Linked DNA regions of Struthio camelus. The protein of the gene in region 1 purifies or fractionates together with the protein of each later gene. This does not show direct contact. Links are inferred from orthologs where the notes say so. Each region holds a gene or a part of one and is shown in the gene's direction. Other genes may lie near its edges.

Region 1 (7,556 bases):
CATGAGGAAGTGGGGGAAGGTCTGGGAAGTAAATGACTGACCCTGGAACTGTTCTAATTTTCTGGGGAGTGAAGCTTTCTAAAAAGCCCAGACTAGACAGGCTTCCAGAGCTTTTGCTCCCTCCTTCCTCTGCTGTAGCTATACCCTGTGACCTGTCAATCCCATAAGCACACAGATGTGTTCTCTCTTCTGCAGGCTGCAGGAGGACACAGAGGGCATGACAATAGACTTCAATGTGTATCAAGCAGATGCTGTGGCCAAGTTTAAGAAGACGAATCCTGGAAAGCCCTATGTCAGGATGTGTGTACGGAGGTATCAATAGTGCATTATGATTTCTGTTGAAATATCCCTGTTGCTGATGTGGGGATCCTAATGGTCTGTAAATGACCCAGGATCTTGGAGGCTTTGCAGATCATCAGAGTGACTGCCTCTAGGGTGGTCCTGCCCCGAGGTTTCCTTTTCTTTCTGTTCCTCCTTTCTTGGAGTCTGTGGCTGACTCTTCCCCCAGCCCTAGCACTCAGCCCACACTGTTTGGTCATCTGGTTGCTGCTCATGCGGGTATTACTGGAGTCGGGAACAAGAAGCAGCCACAGCTGTATTTATGCAATGCCTGTGAAACTCGCACAGAGCCCGGTTTTGCAGAGAGCCATATGGTATGTGACTCCTCAGCCAGTGCAGATCCCTGTGGATTTATGCAGAGCTGTGCCTACCTAGAGGTGACTACTGGCTCAGGGCCATGGGTTTAGTATTTTGATCTTTGTCATATGTAATTTTGGGGCAGGTATCTGCTTTCTTGCCCGATCCAGAATCTGATACTTAAATTCCATAGGTAGATGCAAAGTTCAATTTCTGCCTTTTCTAGTTTTGATATACTAAAACAGTCTCTTCTCTACTCTCAACTTCAGTAGAGACAGAGGAAGGAAGATGGTAATTCAGGTTTACAAAGGTCTGTGTTATGAATTAGTAGGATGATCCTTACTGCAGAAATATTTCTGCAGAGTCTGTTCATTCTTAAATGGAATTAAAAGGAGGTCAGATGTCGATCCCAGCAACCTAAAGAACTTCCTAATATAAAAGTATTTAGATTGGATTGGCAACTTGCCAGTAGCCCTGTGAGCTGCATCTAATAGCCACAGCATGGAGCACTGTACAGTTGCCCTTGTTTTCAGCAAAGGATTTGACAGCTCCTGGTTCCTGGCATGTGGTGTGCTCTCACTGCTGGCAGTCTCCCGCTTTGCTTGAGAAGTGTGGGGAGAGTCAGTTCCAGCTCATGAGACCAGAGGGGGTGACCATTGTGAGCTCTGGTTTTTCAGGGATGCCCAGCTGGGTGAAGTTTGAGGGCAGCCTGGCTTGTTGCTGTGAATTGTCTAGCTATTGTTCTGTCTCTGATAAGCAAAACTTCCCAGAACAGCTGGGTTTATGTATTCTTCTGTGCTTTGAGAACTATTTTTCCTTCTACAGCTTTGACGAGCAGATTCCATCCCTTCGAGCTTTGAAGCAGGTCACATACCAGAGTGGGGACGTCCCGGTGGTCTTTGCACTGGTGGACCATGGAGAAATTGCCTTTTATTCGTTAAAGGAATTCAAGCTGCCAGTTGATATTAATCACTGAAGTTGCTGTCACGGGCAGAAGTGATGTGGGATGAAGGGGAGAGCTTTTATTCAGGATTTGTTTTCTTGATTAATGAAATACTATGGAAAATAGAGCTTATGATAACCAACTCTTACACTTGGTAGTCCACCACTGCAACTGGTTTTGTTCAACCAGGAGGTGGCTCATCTATAAAAGCAAATTTACTGCAGCCAAGCAGTGTGTACAGCTTAGCCGGGCGTTTCTGGACTGGAATACACACCGCTTTGTTCTTGAAGCCACTGGTTCTCCAGCTCTCTGATCTCATGGACGACTAGCCTTTTCCCTGTCATGTCTATCTGTCCTGTGGACCGCTAGAAAATACTTTGCTGGTGACCCTCTTTTCATATGTTAAGAACCACTGTGCTAAGCCAGTCTGAACGGTTGGAGAATCATTGAGGTCAGCCAGGGCAGAATAAGCTGATCAGGTCAGCGGTGGTCTCCTGAGCTTCTGTCATTCAGCTGCGCCAACGAACATTGGATCAGATTCTTATGTGAAAAACAAAGTCGCAGCCATAAAACTCAGCCAAAGGAATCAAATTTCTAGATATTTGAGAGCAGGAAACTCTGGGCTTTGTGCGCTGTTTTGTCAACCAGAGGTCCCAGAAAACCCCAGAGCATTGCAGATGGCACCCAGCCTCGTGCTGTAATGGCTGTCCGGAGATGTGGTTTGGCCACACAGTATTATATTTTATTAAAATTATGCCACCAATATCAGCACACTGTGTCTGATTCTCTCACCAGGGCTGCACTGCAGCCTTCTCTGTTTTGTCTGTTGACATCCCTTTTTCTGGCTGTAGTTCCTTGTCTTTTCTTTTGCAAGTGAGAGATCCTTGAGCAAAAAAAGAAGCTACAGATTCCTCATGAGCCTTCCAGTCCCGTGGCTTTTGTGCTCCAAAGTGAGGATGAGTATCCCATCATGGCTTTCCAGGCCCTACCATGGGAGCCTTCTGCCAGGATATGCAGGTACCAAATCTGCTTTAGCCTCTCTGAAAAATGACCAGTGAGGGCTGCCAGAAAGCCTGCTCAGTGGATAGAAGGATGCTGAGCAGGGCTGCGTTCAGTATCTAGCTTTCGTCAGAAAGGTAATACCAATTGTTTTAGATGCATTTTATTTGATAATGTTTGAGTTCCTTTTGGGGTTGGGGAAGAGGCAAAGGCTAAAGAATAAAAAGCCTTTTCCAACAATGCAAGCTCCTGAGTGTTAACTTATTAACATTTCTGAGGAAACTAGGCAGAGAGGGATGCTCTGGGGAGGCTGTCTGGACGCCAGTAGCACTAGCTCCTGAATGCCTGCTCCTGGTCATACAACTAGGTGGCTACATGGCCCCTTTCCTACACCGGTTTTGTGTTCTCATCGGGCCTCGCCATCAACCATGCCTTAGTTCCCTAGGAGGGCATCGCGAGTCAGAGGCAGGAGGAGTCTGTACCTCTGCGTGCAGTCCCTGTCGGCACACACCCCCACCTTGCCATCTTCCTGGTGCATGGTCAGAGGTGTTGTAGCCCAGGGTGGCAGCGATCTGCTGCAAGCTCTTCACCTATTCCTGTTCCGTGCACACACCTGTATTACCAGATGCTGGAAGTCATGAGGGCTCCACTGAGCTGAGGGTCTAATTTAATACCTCCTCTGACACACACCCTCCTTTTCCTCTTCCTCCCTCCTGGGAGGGGCTGTGTTTTAACTCTAATAGTCCTCTTTAAAAAGCCAGGGCTGTTGGCAGTTCTGGTCTGATCCCTCAGCGCTCTCCCAGACTGTTTTGCAGATTAAAGGCAGTGGGAGGTGAGTGTCTAAGAACAGGCATAGGCAGAAAAGCTCCAGTCCGGCCCATGGGGCTCACGTTTGTCCTGGAATTAGGTCAAATGCGTGCGCTCCTGTTGAATTGAATCAGAGCCTCATCTGCTTATGCCAAGGTGGAACTGTATCGATGGACAAGAGCCACCCAGTGAGTTTCGCTAGGGCAGAGACTCCCTGATTCAGCACAAAACAATTACAATTTAATAACCGTGGCAGGGAGGATTGAGAAACTGTGGCTGCCTTGCTCAGCAGCACACCATCTGACGGTGCCTTTACCCCGCGGGATGAGATTGTGATGCAGACTGATACGGCTGCTTCGTTTGGACCCACGATGTGGAAGAGCTGGATGTTGCAAGGAGATGACAAAGTATTTTAATTGAATAATTTCACCTTTTGAAGCTCGGCTGAAACACTGACCATTACTGAAAACTTGTCTGAGGTAATTTCAAGCTTTGTGTCGCTGCAGAGACGTTGACAGACCTCGCAGTGCTGTTGCACTGCCACATAAGCACAGTCCTAGCCTGGCTCTTGTTGCCTTGCCGCAGGACCCGGGCTCCCCGCAGCGGTTGATCCCCGCGAAGGGTTCAACTTGCTGTTAAGTCTGTCTCGTTTTTGCAGCCGATGACGGGTGAGCCCCTTTTCTCGACGTTGCGTGGGGCCCTTGGCGCTGACGAACACCTGAGCGGGCTGGAAAGCGCCTTTCCCGGCCGTTCCCGTCCGCGCCGCCCCGGGGCCGCGGCGCGGGGCGCGCCGGTGAGGCCGCTCGGCTTGAATGGCGTGACGCGGCACAGCGCGCGGCTGCCTATAGGACGGCGGCAGCTGTGGCCGCGTTCTGATTGGCTCCGAGCGAGCGGAGCGCTGAATTATTCATGACGGTGCCAGAGAGGCGGGGCCGGATGAAAGCGAGGGGAGGCTCCGCCCCGGGAGGTGATTTGCATGCGGGGCCCCGCCCCGCCGCACCCCTCCCGGAGGTACCCAGGGAGGGAGGACGGCGCCGCCGCCGCCGCGCAGGCGAGGGGCAGCGGCAGCGGGCGCGGAGCGAGGCCGGGGCGGCCCGGCTCGGCTCCAGGCCCCGCAGGTGAGCGCGGCTCGGCCTCGGCCTCCGGGGTGGAGCGGAGCGGAGCGGGGGGTGACGAGCCGTGCCCGACGGGGGCCCTCCCGGTGGGTCCGTGGCGAGCAGCCGGGGCCGGAGGCCCCCCCCCCTCCGCGGGGGCCGCTCCCGGAGCCGCCGGCAGGTGCTCGCCGCCCCCGCGTCCCCTCTCCGCTGGGGCGGTCTCCTCCGCCGCGGCGCCCGGGCCCTCCTCCGGCCACCCGCCTGCGGGCGGCGGGGCGGCCCCGGCCGTGGCGCCCGCGTCCCGGTGCAGCCGGCTTTGGCTCTCCCGTAACGCGTTTTTTTTTGTTGTTGTCGTTTGTTTTTTTGTTTTTAAACTGAGTTTAGTTTATTGCGCTCGCTGTGGACGGAGCGCGCGGTGTTGCCGGGGAGCTCTTACATCCTGGGATTTTCGCCCCGGCGGCGGCTCTTTTGCTTCCCGACTTCCTGTCCCGGCGCTCGGTGCGAGCGGGGCGGCCGCATCCCCCCCCCCCCCCCCCGGCCGGCCGCATCCCCCCGGCCGCCGCCGCCCCTCGCCCGGCGCGGCCCCTCGCAGCGCTGCTGCCGCCCGGCCCCGGCGCCGAGAGCGCTCGGGAGCGGCTGTGCGCCCTTTCGGGACGCTCTGTTCACATCCCCCATCCGATACTCAGCATACGGTGTCACTTTTCTCCCTTCTTTCCCCAAACTCGTACGAGCGAGATGGGCGAGGGGGCGCGTTGCTTCTAGCAGCCAGCGAGGGGGCCAAGCAAGACGGGGAAAGGAGTCGTGGGGGCTTCGCCCCGCGGCTGCGGCGGGGGGACAGACTGGTTGGCGGCCCCTCGCCTCCTCGAGGTGAGGCTTCGGCGTGGCTGCGGAGGCTGTTCGGCGTGTTTCCGTTTCACGTTGTTCACGGAGCTGTTGAAGTAACTTAAGGGACTGTTTCTGCAGCGTAGTGGCGTAAAGCTTTACGTGAGGATAGAGGTAAGATGGGAAGAGAGCTTCACTGAGATAGTAAAATTAAAAGCCGTCCGTTGTAATCTGTTACTTGAATGGCAGTGCTGCTCTTTGTAGTCATCTGAGAGCACCTCGGTCAACTGGAATGTCTTGCTTTACCAAGTCCCTGGTGAAGCTGGAGGCCCAAAGCGGGCTGCCTGCTGGTTTCATCTTTGATTCGGGAAGCTGGCGCTCTAGCAAGCGGGATGCAAAGCGGTGGCACGTCGCGGCCAAGGCTTCTCCGTGCGTCCTGACGCGTTCCTCGCGCTCGCAAGGCGGCCCGGCCCGCGGCGGGGGCAAAGATGGTCTGCGCGAGTTCTGAGCGCTCGCTAGTCCTGCTCAATGCTGCTTGTTGAACTCTTCTAGACGTAACTGCTCCAGGGACTCTGTTTAGTTTCTGGTATTAAAAGGGGGAAGAGTTTTTAAACATCTCTGTAGGATGGCGTTGAAGAGCATCTCTTCTCTTTGGTCTTGTACAAGTTGCATCTACTGTTGCTACTGACTGAAGAAAATTACTGGAGGAGTTAAACTGGTTGAGATAATCCTGTATCTTCCAGTTGCTTTCTGGTACAATAATTTGATTATTATTGGGGAATTGCTTGTGGGACAGATGTTTTTTCCTGACTGACTAGCGTCTTGAGAAATGTCAAAGGGTAAGAGGATTTAAACGTATATGCGTAATGCAGTTACTACATCCCAGTAAGAGGTTGTGATACTGCTACTAGTCTGATCTTTCTTTACAATACTTTATCCAGGGAGGGACTGGCAGTAGTTGGAAGTTCAACCTCTGTGCAGAAATTGTATGGAAACTCCAAATCTCACCTACAGGTTTCTTTTAGGTGGATTTCTCTGTGTGGCTTTAGAAAGAAAATGCTTTCACGTCCCCACTATTTTTGGTGTAAAAATGCTATCCTGAAGTTATTTTCAGGATGATGAGCCATTCTGTCTTTCACTTGAATCACACTTCTTATTTAGAAGTCTACAAAGAGTTTTGCATTGTGTGCAATAACGTTGTCCAATGCAAAGACTTTGTTCTGCTGTAGCATTTTGAAACTTCATGTTGTCATGCTCCCATGACAAGGAGAATACAATAGGAGTCATAATGACACATAAGTTTGCACAGTTAGCGAATTCATCACAAGTGGGCAGTTGCTGGTAACTCTGAACGCAAAGCTGTGGAAGTCCATGAACTTTCCTGATTGGTAAGATTGGTTCTCGATCCTTTTCTAAGAAATCAGAAGGATCTATCTTCAGTTTTTAAGGGTGGCCACCTGCACAAAGTGTTGATGTAGCTGGTTCAACTGCCTGTTTACATGTCTCTCTCTCCAGATTTGCAAAAAATAAATCCTTTTTATGGAAGGATCTTTCAGCTGTCTTCTCTGCTAGTGCCTAATTAACGCATGCAAGATGCATCTGAGCGCTGTCCTGTTTCTGGAAAGCTGTGAGTGATGAGATGCTAGCAGTTGATCAGCAGTTATGTCATGTAAGGGAGCTTTTTGCTTGGTCTTAGTAAACTATGAGATTACTGATGTTTTTAGAAGGAACGTCTTTCCAAAAGAAGCTTTATCCTGGGGGGAAGAAGATGGTATCTAGCGCTTCCAAGCTTTCAATGTGCTGCAACCGTTCCTTCGTTTGCTCTAGCTCTTCTGCTTGGCTTCTGCTTTCTTATTTAGTATCTGTCTTGTTAGTGTGTGCGGCTGAGCTAGGTTATAGAAGTGAACTTTACAGTGACAGCCCGGCTAGAAAATAGCTAGGGATTGCTTCACTGATTTCAAGCTGGAAGTGTTCTAAAACTTGTCATTTCACAGTGAATCATGTCTGCTGGATCTGATGGCTCCTGCACTTGGCACACTTGAGACCCCTAGTACTTAAATGATGCTTTGGTTATCTTTTTGTTGAGAGATCGTTAGTGTTAAGGAATAGCTTGTCCCTGTGTGATTGAGGCAGCTACTGTTTTGTGACCGTTGACTGTGTTGGTAATAGGAACCAGGCAAACTTCTGGGTGTGGGCAGAAAGCCTGGTTCACACAGGGCCATGGTGGTGACTGCTTGTGATAGGAGTGCTAAATG
Region 2 (8,115 bases), on another chromosome or scaffold:
CTGGAGCATTTTGGCCGACCGAGCCCGGGGAGCTGCGCTGGGCTGCAAGAGGCGAGTGGCTTCGCGGGGCCGTTTCTCTGGAGCAGTGGGTTGCACTGGGAATGCTCCTGTGGGAAAGCCTTTTCCAGAAGGAAAAATGTACAAAAATAAAGATGCTATTTTGGAGGTTAAGATGAGGACGGCTGTTTGACAGGGAGCTGGAAGGGGTGTCTGCCGTTCTTCCACAGCTAGCTCCCGGCAGGCTGCTCCGTCTCTTCTGCCTCCAGTTAACCAACCTCCTCCATCAGCGATGACCCAGCAGGAAGGGACTGGCGGCCAAGCAACGCATATGCGCGTCCGTCTCTGGGGACCATGCCTTATGGGCACACAGCCGTCCCCGCGGCCCCTCCTGAGCAGGTGCCACCTGGGCTCCCTTACCCTATTGCTCTTGGTGTAGCTGCTGGTGATGGCGAAGGTTTCTTCTGCCCAGGGCACGGGTTTCTTCACGGCAACGTGTCTCACAAATTAAGTGCTTGGAACGCAATCGCTACCCGTCAGGATAATTTTGCATCACAGTGAAGAATGTGGTAGGGGTGTCAGTAATGCTGGGGCACCTGAGGCCTGGTGCCCTCTCAGTGGCGGGAGCAGAGACCGTGCCAGCGCTTTCCTCCCTTCCCAATGCCGTCTCACAGCTGTCCTGACTTGCCTTTCCACGGAAATGCAGTTCCCATGTCGCTGGGGACGAGGGTCGCCGTACATTGCCCATCCCCTCTTGCCAAGAACCCATAGCCACTTCTAAGAATATTTCACCGAATAGCAGGCATTTTGGAGCCAAACGCTGCATTTTCATGCAGCGAGGCAAAGGAGAAGCTTTTATTAATACCCCAGCTGAAGGGCTCCTCAGCTCGCTCCCCACTTCTTCTAGGTTGTTTCATAAGGCGTTTTACCATGGAAATATTTTGTTACTTATTCAGTAGCAGCATGCATAGCTGTGGCTCAGCAATAAACACATTGCCCTTTGCTATTCATCAGTCTACCAAAGTACAGAATAAACATGTTGCTGTGCTAATGAAACCCTTATGTCAATTCCTGGGCAGAATCAGTTAATCGCTAGCCAATAAGCTTGTCTCATAAGCTATGTGAAACTGGAACAAGAATGTATGAGGGAAGAGAAAGAAGAGAAAATTTAAAAAGATCCGTAAGAAACTGATATATCAATTTCTCATAGCTTAGAGAAAGCAGAAGAAATGGATTCCTTAAAATGTTAGAACAAGCACTTAAACTGCAATGAAATTATCCTGTAAATACTACGTATTTTTAGCACATCTCAGGCAGTAATTAGTACCATTCAAATATACAAATTCAGAGATTTAAAGCATAAGCCCAGCAGAGACTACTATGATAATTTGTTCTGACCTCCTCCATCCTATGGTCATGGTGTGTCCTATATATATACATAAAAAGTGTGTGTGTGTGTGTGTGTGTGTGTGTGTGTGTGTGTACATAAAAGAATTATTGAGTACCAGTTCATGGAGCTTGACTTTATTTTACCAAAAAAGCAGATTAGAGTGAATCAGGAGCAAGTCCGTTGAAATTGCACTACTGCAAAACTTGTCTTATGGGAAAAATGAGGCACTCATGTGCATGGTTTTCAGATAACAGCACAATTGAGTCACTGGCAGGTGCAAAACTGAGGTGCTCAAAACCAACCTGTGAGCTGAAGGAGGGCAGAGAGCAAGATATTACTGTTCTGCAGATTAATGTACAAATGTTAAACCTGCATGTGTATGTGGAAAAACCTTTGCTCCTATAAATTTAATCAGTAATAAAATTCATAACTGTGCAGCACGCAGGGAACTCTATCAGTGGATTATGCTGGGCTGCCTGCTGGTGGACTGGCATCTGCTCATCTTGATTGAGCACGCTGTGCATCGGGCACTCCTTGAGCGGCAGCTGGCATGACCTTGCTTTAGGCCTTAGCGTTTGAAATTTGGATTGCATGAAGCTTTGTCACTGTTAAGGCAAAGCACATTTTCGCTCTGGAAAACCGTAGGTACTAGCAGAAATGGAATTTCATCTTCTGAACTCTGCCTTGCATTGCCAATGTTTATTAGAAAAAGCAAGAAGAGGGTGGCCCTTCCTGGGACGTTTTTATAAGACAATGTAGATGCTTCAGTGTGACTGTTTCCAAGATAAAGTCATTCCTTTCATCGAGCCATATTTAGTGTAATCTGCTACTGAAAATGTCAGTAGCAGAACTGACAGGCTACCTTAAAGAAGATTGATAAACACTAATGAATACACTGCAGGAAGACAGAGGGATGACGGCACAGTTCCAAGCAAGCGTATTGAAGCAGAAGTTTTCTGTGCAAAAAAATCTATTTTGACATAATTGGTATTTACAGTAGAAATGCAACCTCTGCCAGCAAATCCATATATTTCTCCAACACAGACAGCTATTAATCACACCAGCAAACAGCGTCACGTTGAGATTGGTGGAAAAACTTCCATAAAATCAGATTTTAAGTTAAAAGGAAATAGAGCTGCGGAAGCACAGGTACTACTGTGCTAACTGTTGTCAATATATCACATTTTTATTTTCTTACTTTACAGAGTATTTTTCCAAAGCATGATAGGACTGAGGATTCAAAGTCATTTAGACTTGTTTTGGCATTTTATCCTATACTGCTTTGGCAATGCACTAAGTTCCCCAAACTCCTGGACAACTTTTAAACCTTCTGCAAGCGCATCAGTAGTGCTCAGTCATGATCAGTGCTACCTGCCCCTTTTTGTTTGTTTTCCATCCATGCAGCTTTTTATTTTTAGCCTGGGTTTTGCGGTGCCCACTTTGAGGAGAACAAGCAGCTCAATCTCAGCCTTTGTGGCCGATGGAAGCGATGGTGATAATGTGCGTTACCATAGCAACCCATCCCCGCGACAGGTACGCGCATACAGCAGGTTGTTCCCATAGCACAGGTCTGACGTACACCTCTACAGAGAAATGTAAACAGAAAAAGTTACCTGTGCTGAGATGAAGTAGGTTAATTGCAAAAGAGAAGTTAAGTAGGAGACCATTTCCCCAGATGTTTTGGACAGTGTTTTAGCTATTTTTTAAATGAATATACCCTGGAAGACACAGACAAAGACTATCATAGCAGCTAATAGCATCCCTCAGTGCCGCATCTCATTTTTCACCTGAGTGAACAGTTATGACAGTGGTTGAGAATTGTATGGCATCTAGAAACCATCCATAAGAGTGCAGTGAAGAGGACACATGCATAGAAATGAGTGCCATGATTTTAGCGCTTATGTGTGTCCCCTGTCCTACTCTGTCACCTGTCTTTCCTCAGTTATTATATCACACTGTTCCAGCAATATTAGATTGCAAAACAAATCAATTCACAATCCTGACTTCTTGTTGCCATTAACTCTGCTGCTGCAACACATGCTTTTAAACAGTGAAGCTGATATAGCGTTGACAAGGGATAGCATGACATAGCTCCATTGCTGAAGAAACAAAACCACATCTGGCAGATTCAGCGTTTATTAATCCGTGGAGTAAACAGATCCTTGACGTAGTCCTGCTGAGATCAGCAAAGTCAGACCAGCTGCAAAATCAGCTCCATCTCCCAGGCGCCCCTGCGACCGCGCGTAACCGCCTGGTACGCTCCCCATGTACACCGCTATCTCTTTGACATAAAGAAGATCCAAACTCGATTTTAGCCTTTACCCCAGTCAACATGCTTTTCTCCCTACCTGGAGAGAAAAGTTGGATATTGTATCGTGTCACAGTGAAGGAGAGAAGGAAAGCCACGTTGGGTAACCACCTTCTCCTACCCGCGCTACCGCAGACACGACCGCTGCCATCAACGCCCCGACGCTCAGCGTGCCACCTGGACGGTTCTGGGCTTGGTTTTGGTTTTTAACGTGGCCTCTTCTCCGGGTTCCCCCATCCTGCTGTCAGCGGTGTCTCTAAATCTAACTCTTTGTGCTGCAGTAGCTCTGCACCAGCTGGACTGCCCTCTCTCTACACACAGCTAACCCCTGCACTAACAGTCTATCTACCGTTTTGACCACTGCACCCGTTCTTTGTTTTCAGCCAAAACATGTTGTATCTGCCCAAAACACTGCTGCAAATGTTATTTTTGGCTCACTTCCATTTCTCTCTGAAAGCAAAATAGTGATGAAAGCTGAATGGCAAATTGAGTATTTCTACAAAGCAAAATGTCATATGGGGGCTCTATTATAAAAATAATGTGAATTACTGAGGCTCAGAACAGGATCTTAGTCCGTCCCTTGCGTACTACAAGGGAACACTGGCTGGTGCGGGGGTTTCTGCCCGCGTCGGTTCAAGCGAGCCGACGCCTTCGGCCCGGCCTTGCCTCAAAGGCCGTTTAAACGCAGCCTTTTTTGGGGGGCTACGCGCACACCCCAGGGCCATCGGCCTCCCGCCGGCGCCAGGCCGCCCCCGACAACCCACCCGGCGCCCGGCGAGCGCTTCGCGCGCTGCTCCTCCGCAGGGCCTGTAACGTTCCCCGAGCACGAGTTTTTGAATTAAACGTCATTAGGAAATGAAAAATGAGTAATATGCTCTAGTTGGGGGGAAAAAATGCTCAGTTTTGGGTTCGTATCGGGCGCGGAGGCGCGGGCAGGCCGCTCCCCCCCCCCCCCGCCGCGCACCGCCGCCCCTCAGGCAGCCGTTAAACGCTCCGCTCGCGCCTACAGCGGGGGGGGCCGAGTCCGCCCCCGCCCCGCGGACTACAACTCCCGGCAGCCCGCGCGGCGGCCCGGGAAGCCGCAGGGAGGCTGAGTCCGCCCCCGCCCCGCGGACTACAACTCCCAGCAGCCCGCGCGGCGGCCCGGGAAGCCGCGGGGAAGCCGAGTCCGCCCCCGCCCCGCGGACTACAACTCCCGGCAGCCCGCGCGGCGGCCCGGGAAGCCGCGGGGAAGCCGAGTCCGCCCCCGCCCCGCGGACTACAACTCCCGGCAGCCCGGCGGAAGCGCGCCGACGTCGCGGCGCGCGGAGCGCGGGGGATTTGGACGCGCCGGCGGCCGCGGCAGGGCCGTGCCGTGCCGTGTCGTGCCGTGCCAGGGCGCTATGGCCGCCGCGGCGCTGGCGCTGCCTCTGCCCCTGCCCGAGCCGCCGTGGCCGCCCGGCCTGGCCCCTCTGAAGGCGCGTGAGGGCGGAGCGGCGGCGGGCCTGCGCCCCGCGGGGAGGGTGACATGGCGGCCGCGGGCCGAGGGGGGCAGCCAAAATGGCGGGGGGGGAGGCGTGAGGGGAGCCCGTGAGGGGAGCGGTGTCCGCCCGGCGGCGGGAAGGGCCTGGGCCCGGCGCGGCCCGGGGCTGAGGGCGGCCGGCTCCGCTCTGCTCAGGCTTCGCCGTCCCCAGCCGGGCGCCCGGCGAGGCTTCGCTCTGCAGGGGTCTGCCGCGGCACCTCTTTCGGATATAAGTAATGCCGGGCATTAAATTCCACCCTTGCGGGCTGCGGGTGGTGCGTTTCGGTCTGTGTCGCTTAAGAATGTGGTGCGCAAGGTCTTATGCTGTGCGAAGTGTGTGTTTGCTCGTTCGCGGTTCACGCAAGAAGTCCTCTAAGTGACCTGTGTTTTCCTTTCAGGCGGTGGACGACTTGTTGCGGTGTGGGATATGTTTTGATTACTTCAATATTGCAATGATCATTCCACAGTGCTCACATAACTGTAAGTACGATTTAAGGAAGCATGATTTCCTGTACTGAAAGTACTATGTAAATTTCTTGCTGTTCTTGACTCATTTCATCCTACTATCTCTTGTAATTTGCTATTATTTTTTGTTCATAGAGGTGAACGTGGAACTGTTATTTCCTTTTCATTGTAAATCTATACCTGCTGTCCCATGATTAACACTGTATTTTATTGAAGATCACATAAAAATCTGTATTGATTTGGGTGATTAAAATCAAGGTTTAATAAAAATTAGACTTATGAATGGCTCTAGAATAGGAGTCAAAGTGATCTTTTTATGGCAAGTTGCTAAATGGGTGATGAATTCATTTTTCCCACTATGCTATGGCTTTTAATATAATTTAAGATTATATTTTGTTTAGTTTGCACCTTCCCATTTATTCCAAGGAGTATAAGGGTGGCTGTGATAGTAGTGCATCTTGGCCTTATGACTCCAGTTATGCCTAATCTGTCATTCAGCTGACAGATTAGGACGAAAACAGAAGGCCAAAGAAGGCATATAGAATATTGAGTGGATGGCTCTGTCCTCCTATATCTTTCCTGGAAAACACAGGACTGGAGAGTGGCCTTGTGGTTTTTATTACGGGTTGACAAAATCCACTTGCGCCTTATCTGTGTGACAGAAAGCCACTGAAGAAACTTTCTTTTCTAAACTTACTTTTATAAACTTTCTCCTCTATGGTTTTATAGACAAGCCATCGTTTGACCAATTATTATTTACTGGAGTGTAGTGCAGAGGCTATCGATCCTTTATTTCCTTTACAAAATTTTCAGTGCTACTCCACAGTTTAGTCAGCAAAGAAGTTTGCCTGTGCAATATTGCAGAGGACCTCTTTTGGATGAGAGCTGTGAAGCAGCCACCAACTTTTCCACGAGCAGTTTGGGTGCAGCCTCTGTTCTGATGATGATACAAATGCACATACTGTCTGGATTAACTTAAATCCCATCTATTCCTAAAATCCTTCATTTAAATGTCTTTCATAAAATCTTGAGGTAGGAGCAAATCTCAGAGCTGTATGGCAGAAAGCATTGAGTATTATGAGCTAGAATTTTTCATGCCACACTGTCTGCTTCAGGCTGAAATCTGTTGGAAGGTGGTAACAAAACGGTTTACTGAAGTCAGATTAGGAGAAAGTACACTGCCTGTCTCATGTTAAAATGAATGCCTATGATTGTTTCATTCAGAAACTGTAGTACTGTCTTACAAAAAGGAGAACGTTGTAGTTTGGCAATGAGATTTAGCTTAGCTTGGTAAAACTGTAAGCGACTGAAAACAGTGGAAGAAGCACTGGAAATTCCTTACGGTAGCTGGTGTTACTAGCCTGCCTGTGACACAGCTCAGTTCAATGGCCCTTAACTTGAATAAGAAACTGTCTATCTTACTGTGTTTCACAGGTTATATATTTGACTTTTTCCTTCCCGATTTGCAACAAGCCTAAGTTTTCTACAATAAATCAGGATTTCTTTAAGGCCTTAAAAGTAGGGCCTTCCTGTTTTTTTTCTTTTTTTTTTTTTTTAAATCCTAAACTCATCTCGCAAACTGAATCAATTTATGCTGAGGTGGTTTAAGAGGTTATTACCACCAGATGTGCTTCTTATTGGTTGGTGTTCGTTACCGCTTGTAGTAGGAGTATTAAAACATGCTGCCCCTCCTGAGGAATCTAAAGGGCTTAAATGACCCAGTGACTGTGACATGGTTGAGGGATGTCTCCGATCCGCGCGCTGCAGCGGCCTCCAGCAAGGGACTGAGCTGGGTGATGGGAAGAGCTACTGACCGCATCAGCCCCCTGTGAATTAGCAGCTTTCCCAAGTCGCAGCCTTCGTCCAAGCACAGCTCAGCATGAGCGCAGCTCTGCGGTCTTGGCCTGTGTCAAGAGTAGTGTGGAAAGTGGGGCTTTGACTTACTCATATAGAAATGTCCACAGCTGTTGGAGGGAGCTCTTTCCTGTCATTCAGGATTTCTCTTTTTTAAAATCTTTGTTGAACTTGCCAGCCTGTTTCTAGCTAAGCAGGTTTCAGAGTTGCTTGTTCACTTAGAGTTCTAGATGCCTGGTGTGTAAATTGTGGCATCCTTGACTCTTGTTCGTTACAGAGGTTTGTAATGTCCCGAGGCCAAGCTTGTTTTGTTCCTCTTTGTTCTCTCCACCTTGCTTCTTTCAGTTTAAGCTTAATGGAGTGGATTATTTGCTGGCAATGCTTTGTATGTTTCTACTCTGTCATTTTCATTTAAGCGTTCAGAACTGTTTCTCAGATTAAATTAATATTTTGAGATTCTCTTCCTTTCTATATACTGAAATACGTGGCTGCCGCCAAGCGTTATAATGAGTTAGTGGATACGCTTTTACAGATGGGTATCGTCTGTCAGTGCAGATGAAAGTGAGCTTTGTGGTACCACTTAATTCCTGATGTACATGC
Region 3 (8,187 bases), on another chromosome or scaffold:
AACGAAGATGGTAAATGGCACTCCTATAAGTTAAATGGTTATCTGCAAGCGAATACACCCAGTGTGACAGATTCCAGTGGTCATCAAACAAGATAGATAAGCACTTGGACCACAGAAAGAAGAAGAAAGGAATGATTATATCTTCATGATAGTAGCTTTCTCATAGTCGTATTAACATTACAAATTAACAGTACTGAATTTCCTTCCATTTCATTAACTTAATGAAGATCCAGTCCACTAAAGTCCATTAGAAAACTTAGCAATTACTGCAAACAAGTAACTCCACTATCATTGTCTGTATTTTAATAACCCATTCTAATTTAAGTTACAGTTTAATACAGAAAAGATGCATGGGAAGATAGAGATGATGTCAGCTGCATAAATCATTTGACAGTACGGAACTCATTAGAAGATGGATCCTGCACTTGCAAACTTACTATTATGCTTCAATTTACCATAGAAGTAGGACCATCTGTAGAGGGACAAAGTGAAGGCTAGCTTCATCTCGAGGGGGGAAGAGAATCAGGCAGAAGTCCCCACATACCAGGCCTGTGGTCACTAGCGCTTTCTTTAAGTCAAATATATTTTAAAGTGTTTGCAGTCATCGTTTTGACACTGAGAGTAACTTCTGTCTATACAGCACCTTTCATCTAGAAACCTGAAGAGCTTTCTGAAAATTAACTCAGTGCTTCTGCACGGCCATTGCATGTTCAAAATTCATACCAGCAATGTGTGAAATGCTCTCCTTGCCAGAACTTGTGCTTTTTTTTTTCTTTAACTAGTCTCTGTTACCAAGCCACAAAACCATGCAATGGAGACGGAAATCTTGCAACACTGTTGAGGTGTATCTGCTACCCTGTTTAATGCTTGTGTTGATTGCAGTGACAAGAATTTACATTTTAAGCAAAATTTTTATCCCACATGGAAGTAGAAGGATCTACTTCTAGGTAACCCGCGGAGGATGAGATCTATTTGCCTGCTTGAAATGAATGACACTTGGGAGACATTATTGTTTTTCATATTTTTTTTGTTAATCAAGAAAGGAAAACCAAGAATCGAAGCAATGGAATGTTCAAAGTTCTTTGAAAGGGAGCAAAAATTCTGAAATTCAGCAGAACAAGTGTAGTCTGAATATTTGCAGTCTTTAGTGAGCAATGCCTTATCCTAGTGATTTACAGAGCTAGAGCATTCTTTGGAGGCAGAATTCGCAGCACAATCTCCTCTCCTCCCTCCTCCCACCCCCAAACACGCCTCTGCTAATCAACCTTTGCCATCCTTGCAAAGTGCTGTTGCATTTAACCCCACTTAGAGGTAATTTGGAAAGAGAACAATCAGTTTGGTAACCCATTTCTAGTCTCTGTCTGATGATATTTGGAGATTAGCTGCTGGGACTGTGGCTTCTCAGCTCCTTTGGTTTTTGAATTATTTGCATGCTAATAACTGTAAGTACATAACCAGTTATATAATATCCACCAGATAAGTCAAAGGGGTGCGAAAATCCACCAAGGCCAGGACGCCTGCCTCCCGCTTTGCTGGGACCCCCGTCTGCCCCCACCAGCTGGGTGGCGGGCACACATCAGGCTGGCTCGCACAGCCCTTGCCTGGGAGCACTCACACTGCTCCTTTCCCAGCAGGCGCTGTTGTAAAACACAAAGAAATCGAGCTCTAAATTATACTGCTCCTGGCATCGTTTTATTGCCTGGTTCTCTCCAGCAGTATTTCGCCTTGTAAAGCAAAGCGAAGGTCCTCGGCAGCGCAGAGCCATTCTCTTTGGAAATGCTGGAAGCTGTCATAGCAAGTGTCCATCTCCGTTTTCACTCGTGAGCTCTGTGGTACAACTCAGCAGGTGCCATTTCCTCAGCCGTAGATCTGGCCGCTCATCTTGGGACTACTTTAGAGTTAAGTCACGCGAGAGGTTTCCTTGATGCTTCATCTTCCTGGTAGTAAAGAAGCGTCGGGTTTCCCCACCCCTTGGGAGCAAACTCTTTGCTCTTTTTCCTAGTAAATTAACATGCAGCTCTGGAAGGCCTGCAGGCAAAAGCTCTTGAAAGGAAAGAGAAAGAAGACATTTTAGCGTAAGGGAAGGGACAGTGGAAAAAACACTGGGGCAGGCAGTCTTCTCTCCCCATGTCCCCGCTGCTCCTGTGGCTGTGGCATTACTCCTTCTGCTCGCCGGTGGGTGGTCTCCTGCACTGGGGCAACTGGTGTTCCCTGGCATTGGTCTCTGCAGCTGATTAAGTAGAAACTATTATCCCTGCGGCAGGAACACTGCTCGCTACGTACAAAACAGCAGTCATCATCCCCGCTCTTCTCTGCTTTGTGCCATGCTTCATTTCATTTTACATTTAAAGAAACCCAAACCAGTCCATCATTGCAGCAGCTCCCCCAAGCCATTTGGACTTATCATTTGTAACCCTTGCAAATTCAGCGCGAAGGGGAAAAATAAATCTTTGGATGTGAGTCTGCGGTAATTTTCACTTCTCAAAACATGTAGGCGACTGTTGTTAACATTAATGAGGCATGCAGCTAATCAGAGTAAGTCCCTTGCTTGATGAAAACAGCACTGCAGGAGTACATCAGGCACAGAGTGCAGCACCTTTCATTCCCCCAGTGAACAAAATTCTTTTAAAACAGAGGAGTATTTGAATATTTATATTTAAATGTACGGCCTGATAGGATCTCTGGGCTGTAGCATCCCTGCCGTACTTAGGGCAAGAAATGAGGGCAGAAAGGGGCTAAGGGACTGGGCCAGGGATGCGTGAGTGCAGCCATGCTCACGTCAGCAAGGGCTGGGACACAGCTACCACGGAAGAAACGGCGATCTTAGCTCTGCAGGTGAGAAACAGGAAAACTAGTTACAGATGACCGAAACAGATGAAAACTTACAGAAGTGGTTAGAGGAATGTGGCGCCCTTGGCAAATGATGAAAAAATTGCTGAAAGGTGCCTGAGTAAAAGCGGTCAAATTAAAACCATCTTCGTGACTGAAATATGGCAAGAGTTTGAGGGGGAAGCAGCAGGTAGGAGCTGCAGTGCCTGCTGCACCACGGAGCCAGGGCAGTCTGAGAACAAGCATTTTTTTGTTCCTGCTGTAAAAGGAGATGAAGACACTGCTCATTAAGGTATAGCATAGACATGGGAAGAGTAGACAGCAGCAGGACAAGTTTTCTGAAGCTGCCTTAATCATGTGCCCCAGCTCTCCTCTGCAGAAAGGAGATCAAATCTAAATGCAATTTGGAAACGTTAAAAAAAAATTGTATCTTAACAAACCTACAAAAACGGACTGGATTTCGTGACAGTTGTTTGAGAAACTTTCTTATCCAACAAACGCTATGCACTTATATAATATTGTTGTATTTTTCTACAAATTTCAATATACAATCAGATTTTCATACTCAGGCCTTCTGCCCATGTGTGCGCCCATTTTGGCCTAACCAACGACCTATCCAGAAACCGATCGTTCCCCTGATGAGAGTGGGAAAAAAATTGCTTATTTTAATTTAGAAAATAATGGATGTTTAACTCAAATTGGATGCCATTTAAATAAACCACATTTTTATTTTAAAAGTCTTCACATCATTACACTTGAAATTATGACAACGTGTATTAAAGTCTGAACAAAAATAATTTAAAATACGATATTCATATTTGCGCATGGGATTTTTTTAAGAGACAAACTGATAAACTGGGAAAAGGCAGCAGAAACCAAGTTTTGTTAAAGTACTTGGAAAAGATCCTTTGATAGCAGTAGCCTCTTTGTCGGTGTAAAGACCGTATTTCCTCCTATCGGTGTAGTCACCCTGTTTACTGTGATGAGTGTTTAATTCAAAGTTGAAAAAGTGGGCAAAAACTGAAGAGCGGAGAAGCTGCTCCTCTAATCTGTGGATAAAAAGCAGAGTGAGAGGCAGCGATCTACTATTTCTAAAACGCTGTAGTATACAAGAACTGGAAACAGCATTAGTTCCGTTCCTGAAATACAGTAATTTGTGCGCTTAATAAATCTGTTAGCTTCAAGGACAGGGTAGATGGGAAAAAGAGGGCTGCGTGTTTCTGTGGTGGTGGTAATATGAACAGGACCTCGGATGGCTGCTGTTGACAGGGCAGGGAGCGTGGAAGTCCCCCGAGCTCTACTAGTGAATCAACCTCTGACTTGCGCTTTGAAAAACGTATCTTTGCTCTGAACGGATCCAGCATGGTTTAGCGACTTTTGTATGAACAAAAAATTAGTTCTTTTTTGAACATTTTAATTGAATCCTCTTCCCGGTTACCCACAGCTAGGTAGGCATTATTAGCTTTAAAAGTCGTTATTAATATAAAAGAGAGGGTAATGAAGCATTTGCATTTTCTGAAAGAAAACAAAAAGTCCAAAAGAATTTAATCTGTATTTCTCAAATGAGCATCACGGATACCAGGAGAAAGTACCACATTTAGCGTAAAGACTACAGATTTAAATTACTTACTAACTGCTGAGAACTGACTTTCCCTGAGGGGGGGAAAAAAAAAAAGCAAAACTAAAAATCTAAACCAGAATTAATACTAATCATGCCTCCGCTGTGGCTGTGATTTCGGTTTAAACCAGCTGTTGGATTTCGGGGTCGCGCCGCGCACGTGGGATCATGCCAGAAGTCACCTCAGCATGTCCTTTTCCGCCCCCCTGAACTCGTGGGGCGCGGCGGCCGCCGCCGTTGCCACCTGCCCCGGGGGGGACGGGGAGAAAGGGGGCGAGAAGGGGGCGCTCAGGTCTGCACGGCGGCGTGTGGGCGGCCGTCGGGGACGTCGAGCAAGGGGGCGCACCGGCCCGCGCCGCCTTCGCGCCACCGCCGGCCCGGCGAGGGCCGAGGGGCGGGGCGAGAGGCGAGGGGGCGGGGCGAGAGGCCTGAAGGGGCGGGGCGAGCGAGGCGAAGGGCGGGGCGCAGGGGTGGCGGGAGGCGGGGCGCAGGAGGCGGTGCTCTGCCCGCCGGGCCGCCAGCCGGGGCCGCGCGGCGGTTGGGAGCCGGAGCGCGAGCCCAGCGGAGCGGCCGCTCTCATTGGCGCGCCGGGACAAAGTGGCCGCAGCCCCGCGCGCGGCGCGGCGCGACACGCTCGCGGGGGGCGGCGGGAGCCGCCGGGGCCGGGCCGGGCCGCCGGAGGGCAGCGTCCCGCGGGGGACTCGCAGCCCTCGGTGTGCGAGGCGCGGAGAAGGAGGCGGCGGCGGGGGAAGCAAGCGGGGACCGAGAAAATGAATCGGAGTTTCAATAAGTCTCAGACTCTGCGGTACCTGGAGTGCAGCGCGGTGGAGGTGAAGAGTAAGGTGAGGAGAGCGCGGCGCGGCCTCGGCCGGCGGCGGCTCGGTCCCTCTCCGTCCCCCCGCCGCTCCCCGCCGTGCGCGGAGCCCCCCGCCGCGCCGCTCGGCTGCGGCAGCCCGCGCCGGCAGGAGCTGGCGGGGCGCCTCGCTCGGGCTCCGGCGGTGTGTGTCCGCCCCGCCCGCCTCCTCCCCCCCCACGGCGGGACCGGGGGCGGCGCGACCCCCTTCCCCCCGCACGGCCCGCGGGGGCCGGGCCGGGGGCTGAGCGGGATCGGGGCGGGCGGGCGCCGGGGGCGCCGTGCCCGCCGCTCCGGCTCGATCTTTTGTTTCGCCGCAAGGACTTCGGCGCAAACTTTTGCGGGGGGGGGGGGAGAGGAGGAGGAGGGAGGGCAAGTTTCGAAACCGCCCATTGTTTTCGCTTTGCCGAAAAGCGGGGGATTTCGGCGGGGGCTTTTCGGCGGGGGCTTTTCGGCTAGCGGCGTGCGGAGGGGAGGGGGGCGGCAGCGGGACCGCCCGCCCTGCCGCCGTGGCGGGGCTCGCCGCGTCCCCGGCCCGGCCCGGCTCGGCTCGGCCCGGCCCGCCGCGGGCTGCTCGGGCTCCGTGCTCCCCCTGGTTGGGCGCTTGGCGGCCCCGGAGCGGAGCCGTTTAGCGCTTTCTGCTTATTTTCTAACCGGTTTGGTTAGGTGGGGAGGAGCGGGGCTCCCCGCCGCCTCGCCGAAAGCGAGGGAGCCGCCGGGGCCCAGCTGGGCCCGCCGGCCCCCGAGCGGGGCCGCCGCTGCTGGCGGCGTCGCGTCGCGTCGCGCCCCGGCGGCACCGTCCTCGGCCCGAAACGCCTCAGAGGGCGAGCCGTTCCCCAGATGCCGCCGCCATCCGTCTTGGGGGCAGTCCGCAGGTGCCCCGGTAGAGTTGAGCGAGGGAGCGGGCAGGGAAGTGGGTGGAAAAACGGGGCCAGGCTGGTGCTGGTGGCGTCGCCGTGGTGTGGCGGCTGCGAGGCCCGGCGGCTTCTCCCTCGCCCGTCCCTTCTGCCGGGTGTCAAAGGGGAACGGGGCGCGCCTGCCCTGGCGGAGCCAGCAGGTTGTGCCTAAGCCCTTATTTTTTTAGCAGCGGGGTTGCGAACCACAGGACAGTCGTGCGCGGGCACAGCTGCGCGTTGTGGCTCGGCTTTTTTAAACGATGATTTCAGTTCTCTGTTTTTACAGTTGGTCTTGCTGAGGGTTCTCCAACAGGTCCGGTCTGGTCGCTGTTGCTTGAAGCAGCACATCAAAATCTTGTCCACCTCTCCTAGGTGGAAAAACACCTCCTGCTTGAGGGAAAACTCAGAAATCTCCCTGGAAGCCTGCTTTCTATACACATGTCTGATCAGTGAGTAGGTTGGAAAAAAGTAAGGAGTAACATTCGCATGTTCTGGGAAACTGTGCACTGGCTACCTGTTTACACAGTGTTGGAGCTGAGGTGTCAGGCACTCTTGTTTGTGTTCAGTGCTCTCCGTTTCTGTCCTCTGCCGCTGTTAGTATTTGCATTGAGATCAGCCAGCCTATAGCTCTGTCTCAGTGGGAGGGCTATCTCACGTGCAGGGGACTCTCCAATCATTTCCGAAGGTGACATCTGAAACGTGGGTTGAGAGCTCTCATTTCCTAACCTCCCATTGCTACTCGAGTGTTCGAAGGGGGTCAGCAGGCCAGGGACATTTTCGTCTTGCTTACACAGCTGGAAAATTTTGGTTCGGTTTGTACTAGTTCTAAGGTGTAATCCGCCCCCACAACATTTGATATGACCCCCAAATCCTCCAGATCCAGTTTTCTCATCACTGGCTTATACCCAATGCAAGCTTCAAAGTAAAAACTTGACCCCAGTTAGACAGGAACTTTTAAGTTCATACTCTTACTGCAGTATTCAGGTGGAAGAAAGTAAAATTTGTTCTCTTAGTAATAATTTAAAAGCAATCTTATAATGAACACCACATAGCCTCTGTTATAGCTGTAGAAATCTTTTAAGTGAATCCTATGTAGCCATGTAGATACCAAGTCATTTAGGTAGATCGCGAGTGTGAACGAGTGACTGCAGACCTGCAGAGAGAAGGAAATCCATTGCAAATAAACTTGTGTGGGTGGAAGGGGTTTACTGGAGGCCTTCTATAGTTCAGGGAAGTTACTGCTAATGGCACAGACGTTACTTTATAGAACAGCACTGCTTCAGTAGGGTGGGAACTTAAAATAGAGGCTGAACTCTAAATAGCATGTGGAGGGCCTACACCCAGTGATGATCCATTAATGTGCAACTTGGGTCAAGGGAGGCCAGCTGTTGAATTTCCTGGTTCTGGTGGGTCGTTTTGTCCGCTTACTGTTAGTGTGACTTGTGTGCATCAAGTTGTTGGAGAGGTTGCTACCGAAATTGCGAGGTGGTTTTCTTTTGTCCGTAAGGCTCACAGGTTTGCTCAGAGGGAGTTATTGGATTGTGGAAGTCGATCCAGTGAGAAACTCTGGCCAATGGTGCCTGGACTGTCTGGAGCTGAGGGAAGGGGAAAAACTTAAATACCTTCTATTCAGTAATGCTGCTTTTGGTAGCCTTATGTAGTCAGCCTTTTAAACATCTAGTTGCCTCTGTTTTGTAAGTACAAGGCCTGTCCAAACCTGCCTGAGAACTAGAAAGTTGAGTCTGAGAACTCATGATTTTGCATCTATCTTCAAATGCTGTAGCCTGCCAGGCGAATGAAGGTGGGTGCAGCGCAGTGTCTGAGCTGGAACATACTCTTGGCTGGGGATCAAGGGATTCTCAGGTGGCTTTTCAAAGGTTGGGGAAGTGGCAGGCCGTGGGCAGGTGGAATCCCTTTTAGTGGAGGAGCCGAGTGTGAGAGAGCACTGCTTTTACACAACTGCATGAAATAGCTTTTCTCCTTGTCTGAAG

What was found.
Region 2: the proteins of LLGL2 (region 1) and RAD18 purify together in Homo sapiens (affinity purification with mass spectrometry; 3 studies listed by BioGRID and IntAct, counting the BioPlex papers as one, with this or other methods). This does not show direct contact. The link is inferred for Struthio camelus from reciprocal best matches to the Homo sapiens genes LLGL2 and RAD18.
Region 3: the proteins of LLGL2 (region 1) and PARD6G purify together in Homo sapiens (affinity purification with mass spectrometry; 4 studies listed by BioGRID and IntAct, counting the BioPlex papers as one, with this or other methods). This does not show direct contact. The link is inferred for Struthio camelus from reciprocal best matches to the Homo sapiens genes LLGL2 and PARD6G.

The regions. Positions count from the first base shown.
Region 1 is NC_090960.1:8,492,226-8,499,781, forward strand, and holds the start of LLGL2 (LLGL scribble cell polarity complex component 2), read left to right. Parts: upstream 1-4,381; 5' UTR 4,382-4,503; intron 4,504-6,641; exon of another isoform or gene 6,642-6,689; intron 6,690-7,556. Other genes in the region: TSEN54 (tRNA-splicing endonuclease subunit Sen54), read left to right, coding at 196-312, 1,462-1,612. UniProt on the Homo sapiens protein: Part of a complex with GPSM2/LGN, PRKCI/aPKC and PARD6B/Par-6, which may ensure the correct organization and orientation of bipolar spindles for normal cell division.
Region 2 is NC_090955.1:1,140,482-1,148,596, forward strand, and holds the start of RAD18 (E3 ubiquitin-protein ligase RAD18), read left to right. Parts: upstream 1-4,904; 5' UTR 4,905-5,077; coding exon 5,078-5,152; intron 5,153-5,264; exon of another isoform or gene 5,265-5,481; intron 5,482-5,594; coding exon 5,595-5,676; intron 5,677-8,115. UniProt on the Homo sapiens protein: E3 ubiquitin-protein ligase involved in postreplication repair of UV-damaged DNA. Postreplication repair functions in gap-filling of a daughter strand on replication of damaged DNA.
Region 3 is NC_090943.1:94,492,564-94,500,750, reverse strand, and holds the start of PARD6G (partitioning defective 6 homolog gamma), read left to right. Parts: upstream 1-4,976; 5' UTR 4,977-5,217; coding exon 5,218-5,289; intron 5,290-8,187. UniProt on the Homo sapiens protein: Adapter protein involved in asymmetrical cell division and cell polarization processes. May play a role in the formation of epithelial tight junctions. The PARD6-PARD3 complex links GTP-bound Rho small GTPases to atypical protein kinase C proteins.